2 linked regions of the Lytechinus pictus genome follow. The protein of the gene in region 1 purifies or fractionates together with the protein of each later gene. This does not show direct contact. Links are inferred from orthologs where the notes say so. Each region holds a gene or a part of one and is shown in the gene's direction. Other genes may lie near its edges.

Region 1 (6,973 bases):
ATCCCGTTTCAAGTCAATATACACCAAATATATTTCCTCGCACTTCGAGTTATTATTGTTTTATGTAGTCACATTCTTTTCATGACTACTTAAAGTGATTGCCCCTTTTTAAGGTCTAAATATAGAACATTTCCAGTCCGTGCTTACGTTCGGATTAGTAGATTGGTGAGATATGTCTGCTATTCATGAATTCCTATAAACAGTCCTTAAAATGTCCCTTTTTCTGGTCTGAATATCAAAAATGTTTAGCTCGCGCTTCGCGTTCGCATCATTTCGTTCGTGAAATACGTATGGTCTTAGTGAATTCCTACAAATAAGTCTTAGATTACCCCTCTTCAGGTCTAAATTTAAAAAAAATTCAGTTCGCGCTCCGCGCTTGCATTTTGATTAGTGAGATAAGTATCATGTTCATGATTACAATGACTACAAGACGTGCTTCATGTGTTTAGGTGTAATTCTAATAAAATCAGCAAGCACTTAGTTTGGATCAATATTATGTATACAAATTCTAGCTCGCGCTTTGCACTTGCATTGTTTATTTAGTGAGACAGGCACGTATCATGATTTTCAAAGATTGCGTATGATGTATCCTTTTTAGGCCTGATTATTAAAAAAATGGCACCTCGCGCTTCGCGCTATCATTATTTGATGAATGGGAAACATATCCGTTTGATGGCACAGTCCTTAACATGTCTTTATTAGGTCAGTATACGTGGCAATTGAGCGCGCTTCGCGCTCCCACTAAGTGACTCAAATTTTTTGCTGGTGCCCTCATGCCTTGACCAACGGTACGCCACTGAGTCAGAGGGTGTAAGGGAAGATCATTTGTTCATTCTTTTATATAAAAAGGTAAATTTAAGAGCATAAAAGCCACTGCCTCCTCCTGCACAAAATAAATGATGGAGGAAATGAAATGGGAGAATGTAGCCGAATCCAGGGACCAAAGCGGCCGCGGCTCCCTATGCATGCTATAGGATGCGCATAAAAAAAGTAAAAAAGGTGAGAAAAAAGAGAAAAAGAAGAAAATTAAAAATGGAAGGATGGAGAAAATATAGAAGAGAAAGTAGACAAATTAATAGGAGGAAGAATGATAGAGGAGGGGGGAACTGGCACCCGTTACTCGTTTTAAAGTCAATATATGGAACAAGTGAAGTTCGCGCTTTGCTCTTTCTTTATAATTAGTTTTGTAAAAGATAATGATGTGCGTGTTCTGGGGGCCCCGGGTAGGCGAAAAGGGGGCGCCAAAGAGAGAAAGGAATTAGAGAAAAAGAGAAGGGGAGAAAAAAGAGGAAAAGAAGAAGAGAAAGAGAAAAAAAAACGGGAAAGAAAGAGAGAAAAAAAAAGAGGAAAGGGGGCGCAAAATTGATGTTCCACCTAGGGGGGGCGAAATAAATGATGTTTTACTTACCTAGGGGCGCCGTATTGATGCTCAACATGGGGGGGGCACCGAATTGATGATCGACATTAGGGGGGGGGCGCCGAATAGATGTTCGACATAGGGGGCGCCGAATCGTTGTTCGACATAGGGGGATGCAAAATTGAGGTTTTACCTAGAGGCGCCGAATTGATGTTTAACCTAGGGGGGGGGGGGGAGGGGCGCCGAATTGATGTTTTACATAGGATGCCGGATTGATGTTCAATCTAGAGGGGAGCCGAATTGATGTTATACATAGGGTGCCAAATTGATGTTCAATCTAGAGGGGAGCGTAATTGATGTTCGACATGGGGGGGGGGGCGCAAAATTGAGGTTTTGCCGAGGGGCGCCGAATTGATGTTTGACATTTTATTTATTTATTTATTCATTTATTTGTTTATTTATTTATTTATTTATATATGAAGAGTTTAGTTGCAAAAGGGCTTAGGTCCACTTTGGACCATTCTGAGAAAAACCGTGTTTTTTATTCTCACTTACTGCAATATTCTTATGAGAAACTAAATTGTCAAGATGTACTACCCTATCATGTGAACATAAAATTGGGTATAAAAGAAATCTGTCTCCAATTTTTTCCTATAAATTGTTTTAAAAATTATTATTGTGGACCTAAGCCCTTTTGCAAGTAAACTAAAATGAATCCAATCTATTTTGATTAAAAAAGTGATTTTTCTTTGCCACTTTTTTCACGTTTTCATGTAAATTTCAAATTGTCTTTGTTTTCATCAAAGCGACTAAAAATTTAGAGGTTTTGAGTCAGAAAACAATAAAATTTATGAACAATGGTCCTAACCCCTTTTGACAAATGAGCTCTTCAGAAGAGTTTGTTTGCAAAAGGGGTTAGGTCCACTCCAAGAAAATTATTTTGTTTAATTCTCCTATATTGCATATTCTTATGCGAAACTAAATTTTCAAGATTCCCTACCATGACATCATAAAATTGTGTAGAAAAGAAATCTACCTTTATTCATATTTTTTTAAATATTATTTTCCAAAAAAATTCGGGGTGGACCTAATCCCTTTTGCAACTAAACTGAAATGGACCTAACCCCTTTTGAAAAAAAAAAGTGATTTTTCTTTGCCATTTTTGATCAATTTTAAATAGGAATTTCAACTTTTCTTTGGTATCATCTTATAGAGCTACTAAAAATCTATACATTGAGACCAAATAATCAAATTTGATGAAAAATTGACCAAACCCCTTTTGCAAGTGAGCTCTTCATATATATATATATTTTTAATTTATTAATTTATTACACATATTTAAAAAGGGTAGCCCAATCAGCAGAAACACTTGTTTTCATTGGGGCCCTTTATAAAAATACAATGTAAAATATACATGAAAATAACCACAAAGATGTATATCAGCCCAGTACAAACAGACAAAGATGACAAAACAAGACTTAAACTATATACATAGTGTACAGCAATATGTTACAAAGTAAAAATAAATGTGAACATGTAGTAATCTTAGGAAATTGAGCAAAACCAAAAAGGTGAATAAATAAAATGCATGACAAACAACAATAAATACATACATGGAAATACTGCTCGATTCTTTAACAGAATATATTAAACAAAAGAATATAGAAAATGTAAAATTGAATTTGGCTAAGCGAATTAAACTAAATGTGTAAACATTCGCACTCAGTACTTATGCATCCATAGATACAGATATAAAATATAAAATACATTTGTGTGTTCTCAAATAGACATCAACATTATCTGACATAATCTACTATACATGCCCATCAACATCAAATCAAGAAATGGCGGGGGCGCCGAATTGATGTCCGACATAGGGAGTATACCGAATTAATGTTCGACATAATATGGGGGGGGCGGAATTGATGTTTGACCTAGGGGCACCGAATTGATGTTTGTCATAGAGGGTGCTGATGTTTAACCGAGGGGGAGCCGAATTGATGTTCGATATAGGGGGCACCGAATTGATGTTCCACATAGGGTCGCCGAATTGATGTTCGACACAGATATGCCGGTATCCTATTCATAAATCACTAAATGCAGTCCTTAACAAGTTCCTTTTCTGGTCACTAGTACATTAAAAAAAAATCAGCTCGTGCTTGGCGCTCACGTTAATTCTTTAGTTGGATACACATCTTTTTCATGATTACAAAAACTGCTCGGAATGTATAATTTTCATGTCTATTACATGAAATGTCTAAAAGTTTTTAGCTCGCGATTCGCTCTCGCAACATCTCGCAGGATATCCTTTAAACAACAATAGCGCCATTATTGACCACTGAAAAAGCGAGTTCTAAAAATTCAGATTTGATTTTTTTTTCCCAAACCGACCGCTATCTCGCGGAAAAAGATAAAACCTATTAATATAATAGGATATATCTTATCAATCAGAAATCACTTCAAGTGACGGATTTGCTCAACTCAAACACACAACTACTTCACTCAGATGATAATCTCATGGTGAAAATATCCGTTTGTACCAAATGCCCATTTTGACATTGTATAGGCATGTTAAGTGCAGACCCCCACTTTTAACATATTTCAAATATTAAAAAAGACCTTCCAAATTAATTTCATGTTGTACATGAAACTTTGAATCCCATCCATATCCAGTGTCATCCCATTTTTGCAAACAGATTCAGCGCGCGCGCCATCTAGAGGTAAAATCCTTACATGTGCTAATGACAAGATGTCGCTCTTACCTGTCGTAACCCGAGCTGGACGCTGTCTTTCGACTGTAAGTTATCTGTTTTCACACGATTTCGTGTCAGAAAAACTCAACTAACTCCCCGAGAGCTGAATGTATGATCGATATTGTTATGTTGAATTATTATAATTATGTATTACATGGCAAGAGGGGGTGGTGTCGGCTGCTAAAACAAGCAAAGCTTCGATTGTATTGTGATCAATGATGGTGTGTAATTTCTTGTGCACACAAGTGAATTCGTGATTAACACGATTCAGTGATATATGTGTTCGAATAGTAAATGAGTGAATTCACCTGCTACACTGCAGCACTAAATTTATGGCATGGGCTACTACATTGGTGTACAAACTTAGTCTGCACAGCTCAATGCCCCTTGTCTATGTTGTCTGCACTCAACCAAAAAATTACACGGGGGCGGCGGGCGAATTCGCCCCGGAAAGTCCAAAAAGAGCCCCGGAAAAGGGCTAAAAACATTCACACAAGGGCGACTGCAAAACTCATAATCGCCCCCGTCAACTAGGCTTGGGAGCCAGCGCCGGGTAATCGAGTCTACCCGATTCTCTATGCCAGAGTCGGGGAGTCGACCCTGATCTCTGGAGACTCGAGTACCAAGCGGCGGCGGTTCTGAGATAAAGGGACTCAAGTCCTTGCCATGCTCTCTCATTCATGGACGAAAATCGGCCCCAGCGCTAGTCTAGTTCTAGACGATTTTAAACGAATCTGCACCGCGATACATACGTTCTATTCCGTGCGTACGCCCAGCCGAGTGTGCGCGCAAAACCGAGAACCTGTACTCCGAGGAAAAATCTACCCCAGCGCCGACTCCAAGCACTGAGATAAAATAAATGTAGAATTTGGAGCCGAGGAGTCATATACTTCGAGCAGAACGTTTCTCTGCTTGTGTGCTTTAGGCTCAGTGTGACTGCATGTGGTATGGGGATGCATCGTGTGCATTGTGTGTAGTGTGTATTTCTGTGTGTGTGACTGTAAAATGCCAGTAGAGACCACGTGCGCATGTGTTGAGCGACACTTGTGATTGTATCATGAACTGGGATTTGTGTGTGGATTGTGTGAGAAGTTTGGTGAAGGTGTAAGATTTTGGGCGACTTGATAGATGATTGCTCCCCCCCCTCCCATTTATCTAGCCCCATGTCGAGCTGCAGCCACCCATCTTGATCCTTCCCCCCAAAGCTTGTCTCTCCTCATTCCTTCTTTTCTTCCAAACTTTATTTCCCTATTATTCTTGCTAATTTCTCCTTTTACAAGTTGTAATTCACTACGAACTTCATTATAATTTTAATGAAGTGTTTATCACCTCTTGTTTGTTTTTAAATATTTTTATATCTCTGTTCAAAACAAGAGTCTCGTCTATCCCTTTAAAAAAAATCATGCTTTGATTTTTTTTCTTTCATTCTAGTCTTAAATGGGAGTCTTGCCTTATTGGAATATTGGCAAGAAGTTAATAAAAAAATGATGTTATTGTTCTGTCAGTAATAAAAGTAGAGATTCAACTATGGATATTTTTCAGTCATATTTCATTTAATCTTCGTTATTTTAATCCAAACATTCATTTTTTTTTCAATGATGTATTTCACCTTTGGCCAGTTCGCCATTTTCTTAAGTGACTGAAAACGTAGACTAGCCCCTTAATTCAGGGACATCAACCCTCGGCAATTTGTTTACATAACTTTCTTTGTCTCCGTCATGTATTGCACAATCTTGAGAAGCACATGTTTGGAAATCTGATATTCTTGTGGTGGTGGTGGGGGGGGGGGGGGTACGAGATTGCCGCCCTTTTCATTCTGTTTTGGTTTGGCTGCCACATGGCCTCTCTCACTGTGTGGAGAAATTAGGTCAGGTAAAATTTGCAAAGACGTGGATAAGTTCATTCCAATTAGAGGCTGTGCAAGGCTAGGCATTCATGATGGATGATGGAAATTGCCAGTTTACGTTCTGGTAGGCCTTTTTGTCATGAATCTGTGTAACTGATACGAACGCTTAACAATTCAATGACCTTTATGACTTATATCATTATTTTGTATGAATAATTTTAAGTCTTTTTTAAAAAGTGTCATTTAAATAACTTTCAGTCAAATATGTACGAAGGATATTTGTTCAACTTCATAACATTTGCAGGTACCTATATTGTATGATAAAATAAATTACCTCAGAATTGTACAAATTCAGAACTTTCTTTTTCTTTTACATTGTCTTTAGACACGAATACAGATCTTTCTAGATTAATTTGACAAATGGGCTATAACACTAAATAGTAAACACGCAAAGCTCACGTCAACCAAGTATCAAACATTCAAACTTGGATTAATTCATGGAGGTTCTACCTCCATGATTTAATCTGAATAGGTCTGTATTAGGTCCATGAATCAACTCAGATATCGTTCAAGCATCAAAATCCATCTATCATCACAACACTAAAATCATAAACAATCACTTCGAAGAAACAATGCGAAGGTCAAACCAGGGAAGTGTTATACTTCCCTGGTATATGCTAGCTACCGTGTATATATATACACACACACACACACAAACGCAAAAAAGCCGCGAAATAGCTCCAGAAATTGTAGCCCTGGAAAGTAGAAATTGTAGCCCTGGAAAGTGGAAAAAGAGCCCTGGAAAATGAAAAAGTAGCCCTGGAAAATTTTTAAGTTTCTCCAAAAAGAGCCCTGGAAAGAAAAAAAGTAATTTTTTGGTTGTCTGCACTTATGCATAAGTCAGATGCAGAAAAAGTTTGATTTAACAACATGTCAAACTAAAATGTCATTGATTGTCGTGTCATTGACATTGCTAATAATGGTAATGCTAGGTCACATTGCGTTTGATTTGCACAC
Region 2 (6,976 bases), on another chromosome or scaffold:
AAATTTAATGAAGACAAGTGCAATTTTGTTTCCTTTTTGCGCACTGTCTGTGCGTATTCTGAGCTGTGCAGCTATGACTGTGCAAAGTGCGCTTGTATGCACGGACCTCTGGCACGGACTGCAGGCACTCTCGGCCCAGGGACAGTGTATGTCCGCCACGCAGTGATGAAACTGGTCCCGGCATTCCAAGGAATTAATAAAATGATGATTAATAAAACAAACTCTGCAGTAGATTTGATTACTTCATTCTAGTTATTGTCTCGCCTGCATAGCAGAGCGAGACTATAGGCGCCACTTTTCCGACGGCAACGGCGGCGTCGTCAACATTGAAATCTTAACCAAGGTCATCATAACCTGGAAAGTATATGGACCTAGTTCATGAAAGTTGGACATAAGGGTAATCAAGTATTACTGAACATCCTGCCTGAGTTTCAGGTCACATGACCAAGGTCAAAGGTCATTTAGGGTCAATGAACTTAGACCATGTTGGGGGAATCAATATCGAAATCTTAACCAAGGTTAAGTTTTTTAAATGTCATAACTTCGAAAGTATATGGACCTAGTTCATGAAACTGAGACATTAGGGTAATAATGTATCACTGGAGATCCTGCCTGAGTTTCAGGTCACATGATTAAGGTCAAAGGTCACTTAGGGTCAACAAACTTTGGCCATGTTAGGGTTTTTTGTCTCACCTGCATAGCAGAGTGAGACTATAGGCGCCGCTTTTCCGACGGCGACGGCGGCGGCGGCGTCAACACCAAATCTTAACCTGAGGTTAAGTTTTTGAAATGACAGCATAACTTAGAAAGTATATGGACCTAGTTCATGAAACTTGGCCATAAGGTTAATCAAGTATTACTGAACATCCTGCCTGAGTTTCATGTCACATGACCATGGTCAATGGTCATTTAGGGTCAATGAACTTAGACCATGTTGGGGGAATCAACATCAAAATCTTAACCTAAGGTTAAGTTTTTGAAATGTCATCATAACTTAGAAAATATATGGACCTAGTTCATGAAACTTATACATAAGGTTAATCAAGTAACACTGAACATCCTGCATGAGTTTCACGTCACATGACCAAGGTCAATGGTCATTTAGGGTCAATGAACTTTGGCCGAATTGGGGGTATCTGTAGATTTACCATCATAACTTTAAAAGTTTATGGATCTGATTCATGAAACTTGGACATAATAGTAATCAAGTATTACTGAACATCCTGTGCAAGTTTCAGGTCACATGATCAAGGTCAAAGGTCATTTAGGGTCAATGAACTTTGGTCAAATTGGGGTATTTGTTGAATTACCGCCATAACTTTGAAAGTGTGTTGGTCTAGTTCATAAAACTTGGACATAAGAGTAATGAAGTATCACTGAACATCCTTTGCGCATTTTAGGTCACATGACCAAGGTCAAAGGTCAATGAACTTTGGCCATAATGGGGGTATCTGTTGAATTACCATCATAACTTGGAAAGTTGATGGATCTTTCTCTTGAAACTTGGACATAAGAGTAATCAAGTATCACTGAACATCCTGTGCGAGTTTCAGGTCACATGATCAAGGTCAAAGGTCATGTAAGGTCAATGAACTTTGGCCACGTTGGGGGTATTTGTTGAATTACCATCATATCTCTATAAGTGTATGGGTCTAGTTCATAAAACGTGGAAATAAGAGTAACCAAGTATCACTGAACATCTTGTGCGAGTTATAGTAGTTTTCAAAATCAGCACTGCTGCTATATTGAATCGCGTGATGCAGGTGAGACGGCCAGAGGCATTCCACTTGTTTAGGGATTGTCATAACTTTAAAAGTTTATGGATCTAGTTCATGAAACTTCGACATAAGAGCAACCATGTATCCCTGAATATCATATGCGAGTTTCAGTTCACATGACCAAGGTCAAAGGTCACTTGGGGTCAACAAACTTTAGCCATGTTAGGGGTATTTGAGGAATTGTCATCATAACTTTAAAAGTTTATGGATCTAGTTCATGAAACTTGGACATAAGAGCAGCAATGTATCTCTGAATACCCTTTCAGGAGCATGGCCAAGATCAAAGGTCATTTAAAGGTTAATGACCTCTGGCATTTTGGGAGTATGTGTTGAATTGACATCATAACTTAGAAAGATTATGGATCTAGCTCATGAAACATCGACATAAGGGTAATCAAGTAGGTCATATGATCATGGTCAAAGTTCATTTCGGGTGAATGGACATATTTTATTATTATATTAGTGTTTTCTTCTATGAATAATTATTCATTAGCTGTTTTCAGAGGCAGCACTGCTGCTATATCGAATTGCGTAATGCAGGCGAGACTGCCAGAGGCATATTTGTATATTTTAGTAATGCAATCAATTTTCAAGAATAGGATACGTTTCATAAATAATTATCTCAATCATGATTTTATTCAGATATTAAGCGAGCTGTGTTTTATTTTTCTCTCCACAGATACATAATATTATTGCATGTAATTCAGGATCATGGCCGGACATTCTGAAGTTTTATTAGTGGCCTGGTCCCAAGATTTTATAATACTGCAAAGACAAAATAATGAATTAAATAGAACAAAAAATGTGAGAATAGATAAAAGTATTGAGAAAAATAAGTAAAAAAAAAAGAAATGAAATGAGGAAGGTGACCTGTGAGAGTAGTAATCTGCGATGAAATTAATTGAAGATGCAAATTTTTGAATAATATTTGTTTTATTAAAAAAAGGAATATATATCATTTATATGAATTAAATATCCACCAGCTGCTTAATTTTCAGACAAAATAAAATTACAGAGAGGTTAGAGGGAGACCATGAAGAATAATAGGTCCTATACTGCATCAATATACTGTGAATATCATATAGTTAATCATTTTTGTCTGAAATTATCTTTTTAATACTCTTTATTTATGATTCATGCCAAAAATGCTAGCATATTATGTTTATTATGTTATGAAAAATGTATTATACGAATGTTATGGATGCAGAAGAAAACAATAAATCAAATCAAATCAAATCAAATAAAAAAGTTTTCATGATTTATCTAATCTCATTTTATTCTGCATGTCATAGGCCTATTTATATGTATTTCTTAATATATATATGTGTGAAGAGTAGAGTAGAATCAAGGATGAAGCAAAGTATACACTATGTTGTAAAGCTCTCGCCTCTCGTTTTATATATATATATATTGTGTGAAAGAAATAGATGAAGAGAAATATGGTATGCGTAGCTTAAATCAAGGTTCCCCAGAGCTATCTACCCTTTGGAAAATTTGGTGATGCCGAAAAAATGTCTCTGCCGGGAATCAAACCCGGGCCCCCAGCTTTGAACAGTGCCTTAACCACTAGACCACAGAGACGGGTTAAGGCACCGGCGTTCAAAGCTGGGGGCCCGGGTTCGATTCCCGGCAGAGACATTTTTTCGGCATCACCAAATTTTCCAAAGGGTAGATAGCTCTGGGGAACCTTGATTTAAGCTACGCCTATCATATTTCTCTTCATCCATTTCTTTCACACAATATTTAAATAAAAGAGTTGCCAAAGCTGTTGTACACGTATAATTTCACACATTTATATATATATACACACTAGCTTATTTTTAAAGTAGAAATATATTGCAAATCCTAAAAATGGAGAATTATATATCAAATTAAAGGAGAAAATAAGAACACGATGGTGTAAATCATTTATCATGGAGACCGATGAAACTCAGTTATTTGATAGTATACAGTTCTCTCTCTGAATGCTTCAAACACGCAGAATTATGTCCGCGAAATTGGGGATTTTTGATGACATGCATGAGTGTACGAGAGACGTGATTGGCTCTCCCATGTCGAGCTCCACTTGCATGCAAAACCTGTTGCGAGGGTACGTTTCTCCACACTGTCACTGAATACTTCGATCACGAAATGAAAGAAAACCCAGAAGTTTATCTAGATTTGGATTTTCAAATTGATGATTTTGAAGATGAAGAGAATGATGATGAAGTTTCTAGCTCTAGTGAACAACAGAGTGACGTGGATGGAGGTAAATTAGGGGAATTACACAGGTGATGATGAGTCGGAAAATTCAACTTGCATGCCGAATCGCTACCAACTGACTTACTCACCAAAAATCCCCACTGAAAATCCTAATTTCGGTCTTAAAATTCCAGGATCTGTGCCAAATATCCAGAGCACCAAGTGAATTAGTTCAGATTTCAAAAGTGTAGTCGCAGAAAAGTACTCAGAAAAAAAAAATTGATTTTCTTCAGAGTTTACGATCTTATTTTCTTGCAAATTTAGGATGGTATCTTCAAAATTAATCCAATAAAAAGGGAAAAATTTTCTATCAAAGGTACAGCATGACCTGCTGGTGCCGCGCAGCGTTTTGAAAAATAGTACCCACTACCCAGGATATCGAGAGTTTGAAAATCAATACGCATTTTTCTGAAGCGCCGTGCCCGTGATTCTAAAAAATCCACTCAGTTACACGTCAGAACTCGACGATCCATGAAAGTAAAAACTGCTGTTTCGCTGGCCTGGCTGTCTGACTACTATGCAGTCATAAGTGGGAGACTGGACGGGCGCTGACGGGAGCGATCTTCATGTTGGGAGTCGCTCAGTACTATAGCAGTTTTAGGCAGTTGCGAGAGCGATTCCAAAGCACACGAGGGCGGAATCGCTCGTTGCTCCCGTCTATTTTCAACTCAGGTTAGATGTCAGATTCCAAGATGGATTCTCTCATGAAAAAAATTGATTTCAAGTGACATTTCTGATAATTTTCCCTTTATTTGGGTAACTCTATATGGTCATCAACTGTCACAAAATAGGGAAATATTGACGGGTACATGTAATCATATCCTAAATAGTATCAATCGTACGGGGAGCAGGGAGTAAGTATGATCGGATAGATAAGATTCTGAACAAAATAGTGGTTTGTGTCATTTCCAGTTCAGTATGTTGTATTATTTCTAAATAAAGGCCATACTCATTCATATTACTGTCTAATTATCAATACAATGAAAAAAATAATAAATAACCATTTATCTTTGGCAGGGACAGAACTAGATTTGAATCTCTGGAATACCTTTTCTATTTCCCTACATATATTTTATATTCTAATTAACTTTAGCAAAATATTGACTCTCGATATATCCATATTTATTTGTCTTACATATTTTTGTAAGTGGTGAGTAATTTTTGTTGCTGATTTTTTTGGGTAAAAACAGATCTTTATTTTTGCTTAATGTGTAGTAAAGATTTAAAACCTCTTTTCGTTTTTATTATGAAATAGTAATTATTTGTATTTATCCATATCTTTGTAGGTATGCATATCAAGGAACATCAAGTTGAATATAGGTAAGAAAATAGAACTTGCTTATCACCCAATCAAAATTTAGGTGTCCTTAGTAGTCGGGAATAGTACTGCGAGGGGGCAGTTAGGTGACCACCCCTATTTGATTTTTCAAGTAGCGATGGAAAGATGAAGAAAAGGAAAGAAAGGGGAAGGATGACTATAAAAAAAAGAAATGTCCAAGAATATAATGCCCTATTAAAGGGAAAATTCACAAAGAAAGTTTGTTGTAAAAATGATAGAAAAAAAAATAAAAATATTGTAAAAGGTTTGAGAAAAATCCACCCAAGAATACAAAATTAAATAGAATTTCAGTTATTTGATTTGTGACGTCATATGCGAGCAGCTTTCCTAAATATCGAATGGTATAACAAATCAATGAAATGTAATTTACTTCGAAAATTGAAAATAGTTTTGTTGTGACATTCAGTATATCAATAGACAAATCATTTCACACACCTTCCTAAAAAGAAAACAAAAATTAGTCGTCACAAACAATTGAAAATTTGAAATTTATGCATTTTATATTACATAACATATGGGCATTGTGGCATGTGCCTGTAATCCAAGCTGTGGGGAAGTTACAAATGGATGCAGAGGTTCGAGGTTCGAGCCCTTGTCACGTCTTTCAGATGGTGACGTTAAAGGTCTGTCCCAGACGTAAATAATCATATCTGATTGATGCACATCTGACAAAACTCAAATACACACACACATACACACACACAGCTGCTCATTTATGATGTCAGAAATACAAAACTTGAAATTCTTATAACTTCCTTAATCTTTAATGGATTTTCCTCAAACCTTCACCAGTATTTTTTATCATTTTTTCTGCTATTTTTACAACAAACTTTTCTTCAGGGTGAACTTCTCCTTTAAAGTATTATTCAATTGAGGAAAAGGCCATTGTTTTAAGCAGGGACGCGAGTGCCCTGTTTTAAGTTTGTGCTGTCCCCCAATAAAAACACCCTATCACTGCTCCTGATGGTAGGTACATGTGGTAAGTTAAAGTTCCTCAAGAAACGTAACCCTGACAAACCCATTTCCCCTCTTTTCCTCTTTTCAGAATTAATTCATATCTAGGCTTTTTGCATAAAACCTTAAATGTATGGTTCATAATTGTATTTACCTTGTTAACCATTTGCTCACCAGGCAAAAAACAACCAATTAAGAAGGTGTAAGGGAGTAGCGGCCTGTTATTATCAGGGCTTATTTAATAGTAAGCTGTGAATACCCTTCTGGTCAAGGAGGGTTCCCTGCAAAAGCAGGGGGTCCCGGCAAAAGGCCTTGAAAACATTGCTCGGTTTCAACATGTATCTCCAAACATTTGTAAATATCCCGTGTATATGTAAGTTCTTGTGTAATTTTCTTTGATTGTATTTTAACACTGTAAGTTGAAGTATAAGGGATACATTAATTAAACTGATCCTTGATTTTTTTATACAACTTATTAGCCTTTATCTTAATCTCTGTGAAAATGGTTTTATTTTTCAAGCTTCATCGGAGGGATGTCAGTGGAGGGCATATAATCAGCTTTCAAAGTATCAACAAGCTCTGAGGTATACATTTACTTCATCTCACCATCTCTCTCATCCATTCATCTTTACATTCCACCTCTTTAATTTCATCCCTGAGTAAC

Evidence for each region.
Region 2: the proteins of dihydrolipoyl dehydrogenase, mitochondrial-like (region 1) and dihydrolipoyllysine-residue succinyltransferase component of 2-oxoglutarate dehydrogenase complex, mitochondrial-like purify together in Homo sapiens (affinity purification with mass spectrometry; 3 studies listed by BioGRID and IntAct, counting the BioPlex papers as one, with this or other methods). This does not show direct contact. The link is inferred for Lytechinus pictus from reciprocal best matches to the Homo sapiens genes DLD and DLST.

The regions. Positions count from the first base shown.
Region 1 is NC_087247.1:3,811,353-3,818,325, reverse strand, and holds the start of dihydrolipoyl dehydrogenase, mitochondrial-like, read left to right. Parts: upstream 1-3,905; 5' UTR 3,906-4,106; coding exon 4,107-4,154; intron 4,155-6,973. UniProt on the Homo sapiens protein: Lipoamide dehydrogenase is a component of the glycine cleavage system as well as an E3 component of three alpha-ketoacid dehydrogenase complexes (pyruvate-, alpha-ketoglutarate-, and branched-chain amino acid-dehydrogenase complex).
Region 2 is NC_087251.1:41,956,286-41,963,261, reverse strand, and holds the start of dihydrolipoyllysine-residue succinyltransferase component of 2-oxoglutarate dehydrogenase complex, mitochondrial-like, read left to right. Parts: upstream 1-3,966; coding exon 3,967-4,026; intron 4,027-5,305; coding exon 5,306-5,339; intron 5,340-6,832; coding exon 6,833-6,896; intron 6,897-6,976. UniProt on the Homo sapiens protein: Dihydrolipoamide succinyltransferase (E2) component of the 2-oxoglutarate dehydrogenase complex. The 2-oxoglutarate dehydrogenase complex catalyzes the overall conversion of 2-oxoglutarate to succinyl-CoA and CO(2).